Cricetulus griseus: one gene and its partner. The protein of the gene in region 1 interacts with the protein of each later gene in a pairwise test. Links are inferred from orthologs where the notes say so. Each region holds a gene or a part of one and is shown on either strand. Other genes may lie near its edges.

Evidence for each region.
Region 2: the proteins of Trim42 (region 1) and kelch-like protein 38 interact in binary tests that used the Homo sapiens proteins (3 or more experiments, as listed by UniProt). The two-hybrid records come from large-scale screens. The link is inferred for Cricetulus griseus from reciprocal best matches to the Homo sapiens genes TRIM42 and KLHL38.

What each region holds. Positions count from the first base shown.
Region 1 is NC_048597.1:205,882,823-205,892,751, forward strand, and holds the start of Trim42 (tripartite motif-containing protein 42), read right to left. Parts: upstream 4,813-9,929; coding exon 4,472-4,812; intron 1,183-4,471; coding exon 485-1,182; intron 1-484.
Region 2 is NC_048603.1:29,293,024-29,302,951, forward strand, and holds the start of kelch-like protein 38, read left to right. Parts: upstream 1-5,158; 5' UTR 5,159-5,935; intron 5,936-6,571; 5' UTR 6,572-6,572; coding exon 6,573-7,922; intron 7,923-9,928.

The DNA of each region.
Region 1 (9,929 bases):
AAAATGACCTTCATATTCAGTACCAAACAGAACTTCAGGCTGTGACTGGAGAAAACTCATTTTCCCCCTTTGGGAAATGAAGCCCAAGTTCAGGAAATTGTGACAAAGATTAGAGGAGCTTTATGTGCTTATTCTACACAGAGTGCCCCCCCCCATCCCAGGGGTGGTGGCAAGAGGGGTGAGAACATGCTTCCTAAGACTAGCTCTACTCATAACAACCCAATGAGGGAGCTACCATTATCCTTACTATTTTATAGATGAAAGCACTGAGCCACAAAGACACAGTGACTTAGTGACACTAAATGGCTGGTGGTAGTTGTCATGGATGCTATGACAGTGACTTTCCGGCCATGTCAGGGTCTCCCAGTGTCTGGGTTTTTCCACCAGGTGGAGTAAGACTCCCTTACAGGTGCCCCACACCAACTTCTGGACTTTTCCATAGCTGAGAGTTACCCTGAAGGGGAAGTGGGAAACCGACCAGGACCTGCTTTGAACTTGGCGATGGCGCTGAAGAGGGCTGCAGACCTCTCGGAGCAGGCATCTATGAGGCTGACCGTGTCATGACCGTTGTGGAAAGCGATCTTGCAGAAGGCGCAGAGCAGCTGGTTGTCACTGCGACAGTACTCGTTGATGCGACTGGACGGGTGGTGGATGCAAATCTTCTCGTCCTGGTCCTCGGCGCTGGTGTCCACAAAGACATGGTCCTGCATGGCCACATCCGAGTGGAAGGCCTTGAGGCATTCGTTGCACAGGTTGAGGCGGCAGGTGATACAGCGCTTGTAGGCGATGCGACGGGTCCGGCACACCTGGCAGAGGATGGGCCCTGAGGATCGGTCGAAGCGCCACTTGAGGTAGCCATGCTGCTGCATATAGCGTTTGGTGAGGCGCCCGCGCAGATAGTTTTCTGGAAGGTGCGTCTGGTGGCTGTAGGGCATGCAGTGCGAGCGGTTGCACATGGGGCAGATGAGGATAAAGAAATTCTCGGTGACCTCAGCGTGTTTTTGCAGCTGCCGCAGACACTTCTCACACAGGCTGTGGTTGCACGGCAGCATGAAGGAGTGCAGGCGCAGCCGGTTGCACATGGGGCAGGTGAGATGGCTCACCAAGTTGTTGCTGGGGGTCATGGACTTCAACTCCTCCAACTGTGTCTCACTGCTCCCTATGCGAAGGGCGGTCTTGGAGCTGAAAAGGAAAAGCAAACACAGGCTTCAGGAACGCACTCAAGAATTCCAGAGGGATCTATCCAGGGAGGTGGTCCACTGGAATGGTGATGAAATGGCTCCTGCTAGGTGCCTGCCTTCTTGGCTTGCCTCCACTATCTTAGAAAATAAACTCAGTAAGGCATTTGGGACCTGCTGCTGGTACCCAAGGTGTGGCATTTTTTAAAGATGATTAAGGCTGAATTTAATGGCTGTTTGGACTGAGTACAGCCCCTGGGCTCAGCCAGAGTCCTGCAGTGCTAATTTTAATTGTGAGGGAAAGAAAAACAGCACATCAGCAGGGGTTTGTTGTGGTCAGCTGGGCCTGGATGTTCCACAGCATATTAGTAGCCGCCACAATACATCAACAGGAGACAGGGCCACAGTGACTTTGATGGATCGGAGCAGAAGGGATACCACTGCATGATGCTGGAACTCAGACCAGAACATTGTCCAAATCACCAATAAGACCTCCTACCCTCCTGTGCAGGGGGAATGGGAGTGATTAGGCCTGCTCTTTCTCTTTCCAGAAGCAGATTGGGGTTCCATATGTTCTAGCTGCCTTCTAGACAAGAGTAAGAGAACCAACAGATTGACTCTACTCTTACTAACATGAGCGCTAGCCTGTGATGGCCTGTGATGGCTTCTTACCTTGGTATTTCACACTGGCATGGAATGGAACATGTTCCCACTTGATACAATGAATCAACAAATCCAATCTTGCCCAGTTATAGGCATGCTTTTGGTGGCTGTGCCTGGCATGTGGTGACATTACCGTTCCTGTTGCATGTGGGATGGGACATAGGGAGGTAGTAAATGACCTTACTAAAACAAGACAATCTCTGAGCTGAGCCAAGAACCCGAGAGCTGACTTTCAGACCATCAGTAATACACAAGGGTCTGCCTCTGGGAAACGGACATGTGACAGAGTATGGAAGTTTTAGAGTTGCTGGTTTAGGGAGTTTCTGAATCTCTTTTATCCTCAGTTCCCCAACTGGAAATCAAAGATGACAGCACTTCCTTGGGAGTTTATGAAGTATACCTGAGATGATCCATTGGAAGTGTGGATGTGGTCCCTGCAATCCCTCTCCTGTGCTATTCACCAGCTAATGGCCACAGTAGAGGAGGAAACCACAATAGGAGGAAATAGTATTCAAGCCCATGAACGCCCACACACGCATCTACTGTTGTGAGTTACAGGTCTTTATTTGTCTAATATCTGAGGTCAGTTTTATGTATTCAGTGGTAAGATCTACTAATGGCGGGAGGCTGCACTTGTGGAATTCAAGTGCATGCTCTGAGAAGCTGCAGTCAGTGTAAAAGCAGTTAGGGAAGTAAGTGACTTGGCTGTGATGAACACATTGTGGCTATTCCTACCATTTCCCTGTGCATAACAAGGTACTGGTCTTGGTGTTGGGCTGTGTCCTCTTCTGTCCTAGTCTTCCTGATTTCCCTTTGTCTCCTCCTCCTCTTTCTTGGCCAAGAAACCTGTGTCTCAGAGCACTGGCAGTCAAAGGTGCTTCCCAAGCATATTGTCCTAGGGTGGCTCTGAGTCACAGAGTGCCCCCGTATATCCTTAGACATCCAGACAGCCAACTCAGCCCTGAGGGCTTGGATGCTGAGATGCAGGCTGGCAGCCTCACAATTTTCAGCCTTGTTTTCTCTTGACTTCCCAGCCTCCTGCTTGTTCCTGGAAGGGTCACCTGGAGTCACGAGTTGATTGGACATGTGGTAGCTGCATGGACTTCTTTGATAAAAATGTAAGACTCAGAATCAGTATATAGTAAATGGAGAGAGTGTAAGAGATCAGAAAGAGAGAGAGAAGGGAGAGCAAGTAGGACTACGAGACACCTGTTAATGGTGCAAGGGGCTGCAGTAATTGTGAGAAAGGGAGTGAGGAAAAGAATGAAGCTAGCAAGGCTAAGTTAGACCAGAGTGAGGGAGAAATGAGGATGCTGTGCCGGCAAGGGGTTTGGAGACCAGGAGAGCAGAGTTGGAAGGTAAGTACCAGTGAATCAGAGCTGACTCCCTGGCACTTGCATCGCATCCCTGCCCACACTCAAACAGAATGAAGACCCCCAAGTAGGCTTCTGGGCCCCTAGATCCTATGCCAAAGCAGTCACTAAGCCCAGCATCTTTGCCTTCTTGCTGAAGTGCTCAGCCACTGCTTCTCTGCATCAGTCCCTCCATCCTGAGTGCTGCCCTGTTCTGGCATCTGCCTTCTAAGCCTCCAGGTCCCATCCTCAACTCCCCCAGTCTTCCCATTAGAATCACCTGATAGGGATAGAGTGCTTACAATTTTGAAGCCCAAGTTTTACCCCAATATCAGTGAAAAATAGTATGTTGAGGAGTGGAGTCCAAACATGATGAGTGTTTTGAAAGATCCCAAGGGGATTTTCATGCACTTCCAAGTTTGGGAGCCACTGATGCCTAAGGCGTCTGCCTAAAGCACAAATTTCAGTCCCACTCCTAAGGACTGAGCTGTGATCACCCCTCCTCTGTGAAATCTCCTCTTGCTCCTAAGTCCCCTGACATGTGACATAGAAAGAATAGTATGCTAGATGTTGGGCTTGCTACCTTACTGAGTGGTTGAGAACCTGAGTGTCAGGACTTTGGATAGGAAAGAAGGGGTGACCAGCAGTTCAAGTACCTCTGTAGGTTATTAGGGTCAAAAGTGGTACCTAGAAGTTCTTACTTCTCAGGTAAATGTTATAGTTCATAGGAGGGAGATGGAGAACAGTTGGTATTTTCTTTTTGTATCCTATAACAGGCTACAGAACATACAGCATATCATGGTCTACATTTTGTAATATGGATTTTTTTTTTAATTAGAGACCATTGACCTAGCTCTGGATTCAAGTAATGACTCTACCCCTTCCTAGCTGTGTGGCTCTGGGCAACTTAGCATCTCCCAGTTAAATATCCTCCTGGGTCCAGTGGGCACAGAATGAGGGAGAGGAATGGTTACATAAGCAGTTATACACCTATCACTTGTTTGCAAGATGAGATGTTTGGGGTCAAAGGGTGCAGCATGAATTCGCATCCGTGATGGAGTTTGGGTGTGGGACTTGAGGTCTATACCACCAGTGGATGCTCACTTTGCTCGTAACTGCTACAAAATTACCATTGATTTTTTTTTCTCTCTCTCCCAGGTAGAGTGCACTCTAGGAAACACTGGCTTGTTCTGGGGTCCCTACAGATAGCATGAGTTCCCCAGGGTTTTTGTTGTTGTTTCTTCCAATGTAACCACAGGATGGATGGCCAGCACTTACGAGATACGGAGGGTCCGAAGGCGACCCCTTCTGAATGTGATGATGGCATTGTGGCAGCAGCGGCTCTCATAGTAGTAGCATTTCATATTGGTGTTGGATGTGCAGCAGCACTTACAGTTGGGGTCATTGGCCCAGGAGCAGCAACACCAGTGACAATTGGGGTTCTCCGCACAGGTGCAGTGGCAGAATTGGCAGTTCCGCTCATCCTTGTAGGGACAGGGGAAGCAGGTACAGTTCCGCTCTGCGGTGAAGATGAACTTGCAGCACAGACAGGAGAATAGCCGAGGGCAGCATCTCTGCCAGGTGCAGCATGGAGAACAAACACACATAGCCGACTCCATGGCTCTAAGATCCTTGGTACTAGGCCTCTAGAGTTTTGACAACTTCCTCTACCAGATTCCTGAGGTCACTTCTCCCTCAGAGGGATCCTTGCCACCTCTAGTGATGCTGGCAGTTTGGGAGTTGTGGCAGGAAGTTGGCCAGTTTAGGAGGCCTTCACAGGTGATGTCCCTCCTAGGAAGCTTCTGAGCTGGCTTTAACCTATTTCAGCCTGTGGACATTTGCTTATGTCATAATCCCTGACTCCCACCATGCCTTAACATGCTAGGTAAGAGGAGGACACCCAGGGGGCAGTATCCAGTATGTGAGTGCATACTGGAAGTTTTCATGCGAGCAACTCCACAGGAATGGTGGCACCCTGAACCTCTTGGAGACATTAGCGGTCATTTGTCACCTTTCAAGTTCTCACACAGATTTCGGCTGTGGCTTTTCCTTGGTAGGTAGGTACTTTTCCTGATATTTGGGTAAGTTGACTTCAGGATTTATCTTTATTGACTGAAAGACCAGGGTCTGACTATTAGAAATCCAGGCCGACATGGTTTTTCTCTTCCATCAACAGAACTCTTTGACAAGCCAAGCACAATATTTACAAATAATGGCAGTGTCACGATCACTCTAAAAAGAAGGAACCGAAGGGACAGAGATGTGGGGTCCCTCAGGAGCTCCCTTCTTTCAGTGGACCCTGCTCATGTTCCTGAGGCATTACACTTAAATCACTCAGATTTGGGTCTTAGGCTTTGTTTCCTCTCCCCTGGACCCTCTGTCCCACTCCATTCCACCCAAGCCCACCCCACTGTATCCATTTATCAAGAGGCTAGGTTACACAATCATTAGCTACTCTGTCAATGTGTACCCAGGAGCCCCAGAAACAGGGCCCTATAGATGGGGGAGAATTTTGCTTTCCTCTTGGTGCAGCTTGCAAAGATGAAAGGAGCAGAGGTTTCATGGCCACACCATCCTAGAACAGGAACACTGTCTCATTAGATTTCCAAAAGATAGCAGAAGTGAGAGCTGAATTTGGCTGCGGGAGTTTTAGTGAATAATTTATTATCTCTTCCCATGATTATCACCTTTGTAATAGGAAAGAACACTCACTGAGTGCTAACTGGGCCAGCCTCACACAGAGCTTAGATCTCTCTGCAGTTGAAAATCCTGAATCCTAGGGTATGCTTTATCTGTTGATAGATCTTATTAAATTATTACTCCAAAGCATACTTCAGATTACACCAGCACCGGGAGTAGGTGCATGACACCTCTGTGTTTGCCCAAATTCAGTGTTGTCAATAAGCTGCCGACACCAGGGGTGCAGAGATCTGAGTTCCATTCACAGGCCATTTCAACATTGGTCTCTATAAGGCTTCCTTCTTTCTCTTTTTAAAAACATTGAGATGTAATTCACTCACCATGAAAGTGAACAAGTCAATGCCTTTTGGTGTATTCATTAAATTACATTAAATTCATTATCTAATCCCAAAACATGTCTGTCTCCCCCAAAAGACACTCATGAGAAGTCATTTCCTCCTCTATTCCCCCAGCCCTCATTAAACAATCTTTCTGATTTATGCATTTGCCTATTCTACAAATGGAATAATATGGAGTTCTTTTGTGTCTTGTTTCTTAATACATTTTGGTTCATGTTGAACCACACATGAGATTTCAGTGTGTGTGTGTGTGTGTGTGTGTGTGTGTGCGTGGGCAAACACACGTGTGTGTGAATACATGTGTTTGTTGGGTGTGCCTGCCTGCATGTGCATATATAGAGGTTAGAGAGTGCTCTTAGCCACAGCCAGACACGCTTATTCTTGTAGTGGCTAATCTTTTTGCAGAGACTCATAACTGGTCAAAACGCTGCGAATATGTGAGTCTGAGTGGTCAGCCATAGAGGGGTCACCCACATCAACTCCCCACAACTTAAAGCTTGGGAACATTGGAGGAGAGTGGACATGAAGAATGTAAGAGCTGGATGATGGCTAAGAGAACTACAAAATGGTAGCTACAAAAGCTGAGATGACCTGTACAGATCAAACCACTACAATTTCCAGCATTTTGGGGGGACTGACTCTGAAGTGCTACCCTTAGCTGAGGAGTTTTGACAGGGATAGTGTGTGCCCATGTCCTGGTGGATGCTCCTCCATCCATATGTTTATGGACAGCACTAATTGGGCTTAATTGTTTATTAGACAAAAACTGTAAGAGGACATGCAGATGAGAGGGAGAGCCCTCGGGGAGTCTTGGTGGCAGTTGGAGGTAGGCAGTGGGGGGTAGATATGATCAAAATTATGAAACTTTTAAAGAATAGTGAGATTAGACAATCCCATGTGATCTGGCCAATTATATAGACTATCAAATGAAGGGAGCTCCATAATTCTTTTTATGTGACCAAAATGAATTCATTAAACCTAAACTGACTCACACAAAAAAATGGAGTTAAGAAAAGGCAAACTGAGCCCATCTAATTTGATGGCACACAAATAAAAGTTTTTAATAAAGTATCCGGAAGATTGCAATAACACATTTAAAAAGTCATGCAAACTTATCTTTTGCCAGTTGTTCTAACAGGACTCTTCTCACAATCTTTTAGTCACCTGCATGTGTGCAGAAGACACATTTGGCATAAAATGAGTGTGTGTGTTAAAACACCAAATACTATGGGGGGTTTATATATAGCTACTTTTTCAAAAAAGACCAAGTCTTGCTGGGTGGCCTAGGCTAACACAGGCTAACAATTCTCTTGCCTCAGCTTCTCCGTGGGTGGTAGTGCAAATCTGATTTAGAGTTGACTTCTTAATGTAATGAAATTTAAATATTTCAGCCTCAAAGCCAGTACAATGTTAGAAAATACCCAGGGGTTCCTGGGAAATGCAAGATAAAAGGCAGTGATACCTAATATCCACTACTACTCACTCTGATTTGGGGAGTTCTGCACAGCAACCCAAGTAGGAGACAGGGCTTACAGAAAACAACTAGGTACCGCATGAAGAGCAAAATCAGACAAGCCACACTACCTCAGACAAAAATACTGTTCGGGCAAGGGAAAAAACGCAGATAAGGCAGTCTATAGAACCAGAGGAAAACACGTGCAAAACATATATCTGAGAAATAGTTTGTATCTCTAAGGCATAAGGAATTTCTACAGCTCAATAGTAAAAAGCCCCCCAGTTTTGTTTTTGTTTTTGAGACAGGGTTTCTCTATATAGCTCTAGCTGTCCTGGAACTCACTCTCTAGACATAGCATGCCTTGAACTCACAGAAATCCACCTATCTGCCTACCTGAGTGCTGGGATTAAAGGTGTACACTATCATGGCCTGGTCCACATAACTTTTTAAGATAAACAACTTTTCACCCCAAACAGATGTTTTTCCAAAGAAGACGTCCAATCTCTAAGTTTGTGAGGAGGTGCTGAATAGCTAGTCATCAGGATGGATGAATCACACCCACAAGGACATAGTTGTATTATACCATATAGACAAATGCAGTATGCATTGATCAAATCAGTGTATTTAATGTTTCCTTCTTAATACTTGTGTTTGCAGCCTCTTATGTCTGCTACCACCACCCATGGGATGCCTGCTAGGTCACTGTGGACTAGTGCTCTGCTTTGGCAGCTCTGCTGTAGAACACTAGAATTTATTTCTTTTCTTTTCTTTATTATTTTAAAAAAGATTTATTGTTTTATGTGTGTGTGTGTGTTTTTCCTGCATGGATGTATGTGCATCATATGTGTGCCTGTGGCCTACAGAGGGTGTGGTATCCTTTGGAACTAGAATTATAGATGATTGTGAGCCACCATGTGGGTGCTGGGAATTGAACCCAAGTTCTCTGTAAAAACAAAGGCTCTTAACCACTGAGCCATCTTCCAAGCCTCCTTCCTCCTCCTCCCTTTTAACTCATTATCTACCCTCCCTCTACCTTCTCTCCTACCATCCTGTCTTCTAATAATCATGGTCCCACATTCAGACTGATTTGTTTATCATTCATATGTGAGGGAGACTAGTCTTTCTATGTCTAGACTATTTTACTTGACATAATATTCTCCTGTTCCATTAATTATGCTACAGATGATTGGATACAATTCTATTTTTCTTTCTTTCTTTCTTTCTTTCTTTCTTTCTTTCTTTCTTTCTTTCTTTCTTTCTTTCTTTTTGAGACAGGGTTTCTTTGTGGCTTTGGAGGCTATCCTGGAACTAGCTCTTGTAGACCAGGCTGGTCTCAAACTCACAGAGATCCACCTGCCTCTGCCTTTCGAGTGCTGGGATTAAAGGTCTGTGCCACCAACTTCTGGTGATACAATTCTTTTAATGGATGACTAATATTACATTGTATGTATATATTGTCACATTTTTTTATATTATTGATGGACATCTAGGTTGATTTACATCTTAGCAAATCATGAATTGTTTAAAAATAAACATAGGACATGCTTTCTTTGATATGACTTTACATTATTTGAGTTTACATCTAGAACAGTGGTTTTCAACCTGTAGGTCGCAACCCCTTTGTGCATTGCGTATCAGATATTTACATTAAGATTCATAACAGTAGTTAAATTAGTTTTGAAGTAGCAACAAAAAGAATTTTATGATTGGAGGTTACTACAACGTGAGGGACTGCATTAAAGGGTCACAGCTTTAGGAGGGTTGAGAACCACAAATTTAAAAGAAAAATAGTTGAGTTGTGTGATAGATTTATTTTTAGTTTTTTTTAAGAACCTTCATCTTACTCACTTAATAACTATTTTATTTAACTTTCCTACCAAGTGTTGGTGAGTTTTCTTTTCTCCATTTTCTTCCTAACAATTCATCAGCTTTTCCTTTTAAGGTAACAGTTGTTCTAGTTGGGGTGAGATGGTAGCTCATTGTGGTTTTGATTTATGTTTCTCTCATAGCTAATGATTGGCACAGCAATGTAGGGGCTACTACAGAGGGCGACCATATATGGTGCCGAAACATGGACCTGAGCATGGTGGACAAAAGTTATGGATATCACAGAAGAATAGACACTGATGCGCTACAACTGGTTGTAGGGAAATGGCCAAAGCCAACATGACCTGAAAGCCTAAGGAACCTGTATGGATGGTTCAATAGCCTTTAACAGAGGAGAGGATACAAAAATTCTCCT
Region 2 (9,928 bases), on another chromosome or scaffold:
CCAGATGCTATGAGGACAGAGACTATCTCTGTCTCCCTAGTGTCTTCTTGGATGGATGGATGGATGGATGGATGGATGGATGGATGGATGGGTGTGTGGGTGGTGGATGGATGGATGGATGGATGGATGGATGGATGGATGGATGGGTGTGTGGGTGGTGGATGGATGGATGGATGGATGGATGGATGGATGATGGGTGGGTGGATGGATGGATGGATGGATGGATGGATGGATGGGTGTGTGGGTGGTGGATGGATGGATGGATGGATGGGTGTGTGTGTGGGTGGTGGATGGATGGATGAACGGACAGTTGCATGGATGGTTGGATATATGCACAACTCTTGGGAGTCAGATTCCTGGTCAACTCCCACTTCCTCCAAGGAGCCCATTTCTAGGATCAGAAAGTTTATTTTCTATGTCAGACCTCCTATACACACCTTTTGCCTTCAGTCTCATGAAAGTAAAGCGTCAAGTGGCAGGACAGCCGTGTCCTCCCTCGGTGTCTGTCTTAGCACTGCAGGCACCTGGTGGGCGACAGAGAGCCCAAGCAGCGTGTTTCACTTCTGGTCACAGAGCTACACCAGAATAGTTTAAAACATATCCTTGCTTACAGTCATTCTTCTTTGCTGCCTTAATGGAAGCCAGGAGAGCTGACCTGTGGCGTAAGAGATGTGTGACGTCAAACTTCAGTTTACAGGGAGAATGGGTCCAGCATCCGGGTTACAGCAACATCTGCTAACAGAGCCAGAGTCATCTCTCCGAGTCTTTTCTCCCCGTGCCTTCCACAGGGCTAAAATGTGAAGATGCTTCTGGCTGTGGGAGGGGCATGGAGGAAGAGTTGAGGCTAGTGACAGTAATATCAGGTCTTTGATCCCAGAGGACAGTGGTCAAGGGGCTTCCCTTGATCGAGGGACACATTCCCCTTTAGCTATTGTTGTGACTACAAAGTCCTTGTTCAACTTTCCATGAACGTAGAGGTATGAAAAAATCAGAGCAAGAGGGATCCAGACTCAGACAGTCTCTGCATACACAGTCATCCCTCAGGATGTGCTGGGGATTGGTTCTGGGACCTTCTGGAAATCATCATTCTCCAATGCTCAAGCCCCTCAGACAAGGTGGTGTAGTGTTCGCACATAGCCTTGGGGAATACCTTAAATGCACACAGTTTGAATACAGCTGCAATTGTTCCCTGCAGGCGGTTGGCCCACAGAGCGGAAGGACCTGTGGCTGTGGATGGCCCGGATCACACAGCAAGGCAGATTCCAGCCAATGGCTTTTATAGATCCAGTTGTCCAAAACCTCCCATGTCTGCTCATCCCGTCTCTTCTCCAGCTCCTCTCACTCCCCCAGGAAGCGCCCTAATGCTATTTGGGGGCGCCCTTCCAGCAAGAGCATCTGCTGTGGATGTCTGCACATGCAGTAAGTCTATCCTTGAAGCCCCTGCCACCAGGGTTCTCTAAAGGCAGGCGGGGTGCACACCCAGGGCATGTGTGTGTGTACATATGCACATGTATGCACATGTATGCATATCCCTGTAGTCATGTGTGTACATGTATGTACTTGCTTGGTGGGTTCTTGGTCCTACTAGTCAAGCCTACTGCTGACACACTGGCCTACCGTTCCCATAAGAGTCCAGTCCCTGCACATACGGATAAGAACGGCCTCCAGAATCAGTACAGAATTCTACCAGGAACATGCTTCCTGGATTCACTTAAAAGGGCAAAGTTACAAAAGGCACTGGCTGACGGTCCACTCTATACTTGGCTTTGGGTCAGAGATGAGCCAGAACTCTGATCACAGAGGCTCGGCCTTTCACCGTTCCTTGCTGTACCTCACCTAGCAGAGGATAGATACCCAACCCACCCGGGGGCAGCCGGAAGGGTCAGGGTTCATAACTTCAAGGATAGATGGGGACATGTAGACAGGGATTTGTGACTTGCCCAAGGACATGCAGAACTCTGAGTAGACTCCAAGACCCCCAAGGCTGGGTCTCTAGAGGGTTAGGAGCACCTCAGTTCTTAGCTCGGGACTGAAACAAGCAGCTAAAGCGAACATGAAACCAAATCAGACTCTGCAAACCAGACACTGTGCTCTGCCAGACTCTGATGAGACTGTCTAAGGAGCAATACGATAATGACAATTAGGTCAGGTCCATTGCCAGCACTACACACACGTTACTAAAATGTGGCAGGGATGGCGAGCCCCGTTTAACACACGGGAAGTCAAGGCTGGAAGAAGATGAATAGTATGCCCAAGATTGCACCGAGAGAAGGATGCCAAGATTGTCCCCAGCCCTCCTGTTCCCAAAATCGATTCCTTGTGACACTGGCTTTCCTCAAAAGGAAGGACATAGATAGAGCTGGGTGTCCTCATTTATTTTGGGTCACCATATGCTCAAACCCTAAACTAAGATATCTTCTTAAGGAAATTTAAGGAAAAAAAAAACCGTCAGAGAGAAGCTGCTGTATGAACAAGCTGGCTGAGATTACTCGTGGGTGGGAGAGACGTGTGTGTGTGTGTGTGTGTGTGTGTGTGTGTGTGTGTGTGTGTTAAACAGCTCAGCTCTGTATCTTTTCCTGAATTCTACTTGGCCAATCCAACAGAATGGAGCCTGCTTTTTCTGAGCATTAGATACTAAAAGATTTATTGAAGCTGGCCAGACACTACCCAGCTCATCCAATCCCCTGACAGACCTGGTTCTGGAAGGTCTAATTAGAAGATGGAGGGAAAATCCAAGGAGCCTTCCAGGGACAGGTGCTAAGTAAATTCATTCGGCTCTTTGCCTTCAGAACATGCTCGGCTTGCACAGCAGCTGGAAGAACCATGACTTAGGCATTCCAAGCCCTGGGGAAGTTGTGTTTCCATTGTTTCAGCTTCCAAAGACCAAAGCTGGGTCCTTAGCCCACACTCAACTTTCACTCTATTATACAAAGCTATTTATTTGGCTTTTCAGCTTATCGCATTATTGACATTGTTGGGTTTAATTAAAGGGAGGGACACTGGGGTCACGTTGCTGTCTACACACAAGCTGCAAGTGGTAGCCCTCATCATACTCTCACAAAGCTGATGGGACCCCCCAGGGAGCTCCCCTCTCCCCGCCCCCCTTCTCCATTCTGCTTCTGTTCAGTTCTGCTCAGTTCCGGAACTGAACAGAACCCGCCCGCTAGATGATAGAGGAGGGGTGAAGAGAAGAAGGGAGGGATGGACAAAGAAAGAAGGGGAAGAAAGCAAGAGGAAGAAGAAGAAGAAGAAGAAGAAGAAGAAGAAGAAGAAGAAGAAGAAGAAGAAGAAGAGAGAGAGAGAGAGAGAGAGAGAGAGAGAGAGAGAGAGAGAGAGAGAGAGAGAGAGAGAGAGGAGCTGAGAAAGAAGACATGGAGAAGGAAGACGGTGAAGAGGTAAGCGGAAAGGACAAAGAGGCCGCCACATCCAGCCCTGGACTCTGCGGAGAGGGAGAGGGAGAGAGACCAGACTTCCTGCCTTCAGAGACTCCACACTGATGGGACAGGCACGAGTGGACCAGCAGACTGCCGTGAAGCCTGGGGCACATCCTGCTCCACGGGGCAGAGGGCATGAGAACGGTGCAGACAGGTGAGGAAGGGCACGGAAGACTTTCAGAAAAGCTGCCACGCAGACTACAGTTTGAAAGATGAATGGGGACAGTGAAAACAGAAGAGGGGGCTAAGAGAAGAATGCACATGAAAACACCTAGTATAGAACAGAGGGCCACCAGGCCCCTTTTCGGGATGCAACTGCACCATCACCAAGGCTCAGAAGCAGGGGGAGTGGCCAGCATCCACAAGCCCCGCCCTCAGCTCCAATCTCTCTCTGATCCCTTAGGCACAGGCTCTCTCTCTGCTATTACTACTTCTGCCTCTAGACCCCTGGTCCCAATGCCACGCATTGGATGTGCGTCGTGACCTTGACCACGTGAATTCTTTGAGGGCATGGCCTATAACTGAGTGAGAACACCCCTTCTACCCTGCGCTGAGCACCCCAAAAGCCAGGCCCCCCGTACAGAGACACTCACAGACATGTGCATGGATCTGTAAGTTGTCTCCTGGAGACAGTGTGGTTCTGGGAAGAGCCAGAGACCAACCTGACTCCCGCTAAGAAGAGCTCTTGACATGGACAGCCAGCAGAGCCGTGGCTCGGAGCCTGGCAGCTTCTGACTTGTCGCCTATGGCAACATGGCAGGGGTAGTGGCTGTGGAGGGGCTACAAACAAGGGCTAAGCCAGCAGGAGAGGCTGCTCCAAGAGTCTGAGCGGCGTGGGGAGAGGAAGTTAGGCTTCACTGCCACTCATGGCTAGAGCAATAGCGTACGGCAGTGAAGGGAGGGGTGGCCCGCCACCCTTCCAGCGTGCTGAAGCTCACCGCTGTGGGCCTGGCTGCCCTGCAAACCCCCCCCCCCCCCCGCCGCCCATCACCACCACCAGAACATGCTCGGCTTGCTCAGCAGCCGGAAGAACCATGACTTAGGCATTCCAAGCCCTGGGGAAGTTGTGTTTCCATTGTTTCAGCTTCCAGAGACCAAAGCTGGGTCCTTAGCCCACACCACCACCAGTCTCTTCTCCCTTCCTGGCCTCCTCCTCTTCTTCCCAGCCTCTCCCTCCGCGTTGCCTTTTCCTCCTCCTGCTCCTCTTTGATCTTTCTCCCCGGCCTCCTCACCTTCCTTTCACCTCTCTGTCTCCCTCCAACTTGTCTTCTCTTCCTCCTTTTCCCTCCCTCCCTTCCTCCTCTTTACCCTTCCTCCATACCCCCTCCTCCTCCCCTTCCTCCTCCCCTTCCTCCTCCACCTTCTCTCCCTCCTCCCTCCCTCCCCCCTCCCTCTGGCTTTCTTTCCCTTCCTTCTTTCTCCATCCCTTCCTCCTTCTCTCCTCTTCTCCTCATCCTATCCTCCTTTGTTCTCCTTCTCCCTGGACCTATGTGCCCTGCCTCCTGCTTCTAACTCACTTCTCTGTGGTGAGAGGAGACAGAGAAGGAAGCCTGAGGTCTAAGAGAGCCCAGGTGAAGAGCAGCTGCAGATGTCCAGATGGACATTACAAGCCAGAGTACACAGCTGTACCAGGAGACAGAAGGACAAACACACACACACACACACACACACACACACACACACACAGAGAGAGAGAGAGAGAGAGAGAGAGAGAGAGAGAGAGAGAGAGAGAGAAGGCTCAATTAGAGCCAGGACTTTCCCAAGTCTAAAAACTCCAGAATGCTTGACAAATTCAAAAACAGAAACAAAACAAAACACCAGCCCTTGCTCTGGATTGATTGCTTTGCCTTGGGGCCTGAAAGGGAACCACAGCCCTCACCACAGTCCTGCCAGGCAGAAGGTGGCGGACGGACCCCTACGGAATAGCACCCTGGGTTCTGTTCATTTTCTGCCTCTCCTATGACCACCTGCCACCTCTACTGTGACCCAGAGCTGTCTGTCTGCAGCGATTCCGCACAGGTCACAGCAACCTGTTTACAAACAGCTAGAGTTCCAAGGCTCTCTTAGGACAAGGGACTCGGGATGCATCCAAATGGACAGCAAAGCCTTGGTCAGAGAATCCGTCCCTCCCTTTCTATTTATGCCGATGTAAACACTCGCCAAGGAAACAAGCCATGCAGGCATGCGCAGCCCTGCAGGCCCTCGGGTGGCTGCAAAAGGCAACTGGAAAGTCACATGTCATAACACTGGAAAGTACATATGCAGCTATTCTTAGGCTTGGAATGTATACACTGTCTGCCTGCCCGGCAGCCCTTGCACCGAGCTCTAGGAGCTGTGAAAGTGCCTGCAGCATAAACAAACCCAGAACTCATCTAGGACAGAGAATTTGCCAACAGAAGGAAAGGCCTGGGGTTTATGGTTTTATTCCAAGACTAAGGTAGAAACCTTCTGAGGGGACAAGACAAACCCGGCATCCGTGGATGTCACTGCAGCAAAACAAGGTAGGTGTCCCTAACTTGTCATTCCTCAGCAGGCAGACTGTCCATGTCACCAAGGAGCCACAGAAGTGTTTGGTGTTCTCTACTAATTACATCTTTAAAACAAAACCCAGAGACCATGCGGTCTTCTCTCTAGATCTGGCCACAGCCCGCTGTAATCCCTCACTTCTGTCCAGTGACCAGAAGACCACACCCCCAGAATGTCAGCCTTAGGGAATAACTAACTCCAAGAAAGATTTGTAGACAAGTTTACTGGCAAATCTGCTAATGATCTGGACAAAGGCATACATTACTTGTCAAATGCATGGACTGCTTTTTTTGTTTGTTTGTTTATTTTTGTGCCAGGCTAATATGTGAGTCTCTGACCATCAACTTTGGTTGGAAGAGGCCTAAGATTAGCTGGAGATGCTACATGTCTTTTATCTCTGAGGCTGTTCACAGCCTGAAGTAGATCACTTTGTGGTCTGCGATGAGGGTGGTTTCCTCTTCCCTCTTCAGTGTGCTCTGTTTGTGAACCCATTGACTTGGTAAATAGATACAATGAACGAGGCTTGGAGCCCCCACAGCTAACCCCTCTAGTACACGATGCCAGAAAGCCTTGACCTTGCTTCCATTTGGGGCTTCCCTCCTTCTTTGTAGGATGGATGAGGAGCTACCAGATGGGGTTGTCTTCAAAGACGACAACTTCTCCTCTGACTTGTTGAGACAGCTCAATGACTTAAGGCAGAGCAAGACCCTGACCGATGTGAGCATCTGCTCCGGAGCCTGGGAGGTCCCTTGCCACCGCAATGTGCTGGCCTCCAGCAGCCCCTACTTCAAGGCCATGTTCTGCAGCCACTTCCGGGAGAGCACGGAGGCCAAAGTGTGGCTGAAGGGCATCAACTCCAGCACTCTAGAGCAGGTCGTCACGTATGTGTACACGGGAGAGGTGCACATCACAGCTGCCAACGTCCTCCCCCTGATGGAGGCAGCCGCCATGCTGCAGTACCCCAGGGTGTTCGAGGCCTGCTCATCATACCTGCAGAGCCAGCTGGCCCCCAACAACTGCCTGGGCCTGGTCAGACTCGCGGAAATCTTAAACTGTGAAAGCCTTAAGAAGAGAGCCAGGGAGGTGGCCCTGACTTGCTTCCCAGAGGTAGCAGCGTCGGCTGACCTGAAGGAGCTCTGTGCCATGGAGTTGAGAGACTACCTAGGAGATGACAGGCTCTGCGGCGAGGAGGAAAAGGTGTTTGAGGCCCTCATGGCTTGGGTCAAGCATGACCTCCAGGCCCGATGGCCCTACATGCAGGAACTTCTGCAGCAAGTCCGGCTGCAGTACATACATCCTGCCTTCTTTCACCATTTCATTGCCAACGACGCTGTCCTCCAGTCGTCGCCCGCGTGCCGGGCCATCCTGGAGGCGGCCAGGAAGCAGATGTTCTCTTTGTACAGCCCCAGTGCCCAGGACTGCAAACTCGTGTGGCACGAACCCCCGAGGAGCTGCTACCAAGACTGCCTCCTTGTCCTGGGGGGCCAGAAGGACAACCAGCAGACCACCAGGGATGTCTTGCTCTACAGTGTACACACTGGCCAGTGGCAGAGCCTGGCCAAACTCCCCGCGCGGTTGTACAAGGCCTCGGCTGTCACCTTGCACCGCAGCGTCTACGTGCTCGGGGGCGTGGCTGTGAGGGAGGGCAAGAGTGCCGTCAGTGCCAGCGTGTATGTCTTCTCTCTGAAACTCAACCAGTGGAGACGCGGGGAGCCCATGCTGGCAGCCCGCTACTCTCACAGAAGCGCCGCCCACCGGAATTTCATCTTCTCCATCGGGGGCACCGGAGAAGGGCAGCAGCTCCTGGGTTCCATGGAGAGGTATGACAGCGTCTGTGATGTCTGGGAGAGCATGGCTGACATGCCAGTGGCCGTGCTCCACCCTGCGGTTGCCGTGAAGGACCAAAGGCTCTATCTTTTTGGGGGTGAGGACATCATGCAGAACCCTGTGCGCCTCGTCCAGGTAACCAGCCGGTCCTTCTCTCCACGCTAGGACCAAGTGTGCTTGTGTGTGCGCACACACACATACATAAATATACATGCCTAATACAATAGCATATACACACACACATATACACATGCATATCTGCAGCCATGTAAACATTCACATACACACGTATACACATAGCACACGCATAATTATATACAGACACACTCATACAGGCACATGTATAACTGAGTGAACATATATGCACACGTGTGTGCATGCATTCAGTCAGGTGTACATTCACTCACGTGAACATGCTAACAGTATAAACACATAAATACATGTATGTGCACACATGATTATGTGACATATTCGCATACACATGTGCGTGTATAACGCCATACATATGCAGACATGAACATATCATGACCAACACATGCACACATACATATGCAAGTCTACATGCATGGGCACATGCATGCACCCATATTACGCACACGTCTGTACACATGCGTGTGTATGTGTGCACTTGTGTGTACATGCATTTGTGTGAACACGTATCATAGCACATACATGTCATAAATATGTGCATATATGCATTCTTGTGTACCGTGTACATACATGCATGCATTTGTGTGTGTACCCATACATGCACTCTTATTTATCGTGGCATACACATATCTATGCACACGTGTGAACATATACACCTATGTACATATGTATGCATGCAGACATAGAATAGAATACACACTTGTGCACATATACACCTATGTACATATGTATGCGTGCAGACACAGAATAGAATACACACTTGTGCACATATGCACGCATGCATACATGTGTATTATATATGCCACATATGATAGTATATTCATCTGAGAACAAATGCATGTATTCGTGTGTGTGTATGAGTGTATACACATGCCCAGACAGGCACACACATACACACAGGCACACACACATAGCACACACACACATAGCATGCACGCATTTGCCTTTCTCAGGCCATGAAGAGAAGCAGGAAATTTTCAGTGGTGTTTGGCTTATGGATTTTTCTTGTGAGACTAATGCAAAGTCATGTCAGGTGCACCCCATCCGCAAAGAGCTTGTCTTCACTTGAAGGGAAATAACCTAGAAGTTCATGCTGAAACATATTTAAAACAAGACAGCACAGTGCTATAGAACGCTCGTGGTGCCGTTAACCCCCACTGCAAGGCTACCCTCCTCGCATGGAATCATGACATCTGTGCTTTACAGAGGTCTCCAGGAGCCTCTAAGGCATGACTGGGGCTGGGACCATGTGCCTGAAATGACAGGAGGAATTCATTTCACTAGCACAGGCCCTGAGATGTGTGTTTGAAAAGGGCCAACTTCAGAGCGTCGAGTGTCCATGCTCCGTGCAAGCTTTAATGACTGTGCCGCACGTGGTAAGCTTCCCTTACTATTTAGGCAACACCAGGGGTGGACTCTGTCTGTCCGCTGTCAATGACCTGAGAGGAAACAGAAAATTACATCTAACCCTCCAGGAGTTTACATGACAGCTGCAATTCGGAATCTGAAGATCCAAGTGCTGAGAGCTTAAGGGGTGTCCTAGATGGGACCAGAGGGAATGGCAAAGAGCATGAAGGTCCAGAGGAATTTGGAGAAAACTCCGTGAGAGGGTGAAAGAGGAGGGAGGCGTCAGAATGGATGCTAAGATGCTAAAAACGAGCAAGCAGCGGGGGGCCTGGCTGGGAGCGAAGAGCTGACAGCTGAAGACGGCAGAACTGTCTGCAGAGGGAGAGACGGACCTGGGTCCTTTGTACAGAGGCTCAGAAGAAAAGAGGAGGCAAGCGCTCTGCCTGCGGAGCGGAGAGCGTGACAGTGACAGCGTGACGTACAGTCGCCAGCGGAGTGAGGAGGAGAGAGGCTGCTTGCCAGACGGTAGCTGGGGAGGGAGCAGGTGTCAGCCCCGTGTAGTCTCCATCATCCCCTTCTTACGCTGCCCCAGCAGCCTCCTCCACCCAGATCCTGCCTCCAAGGCGCTCCTACCAAAATTATGG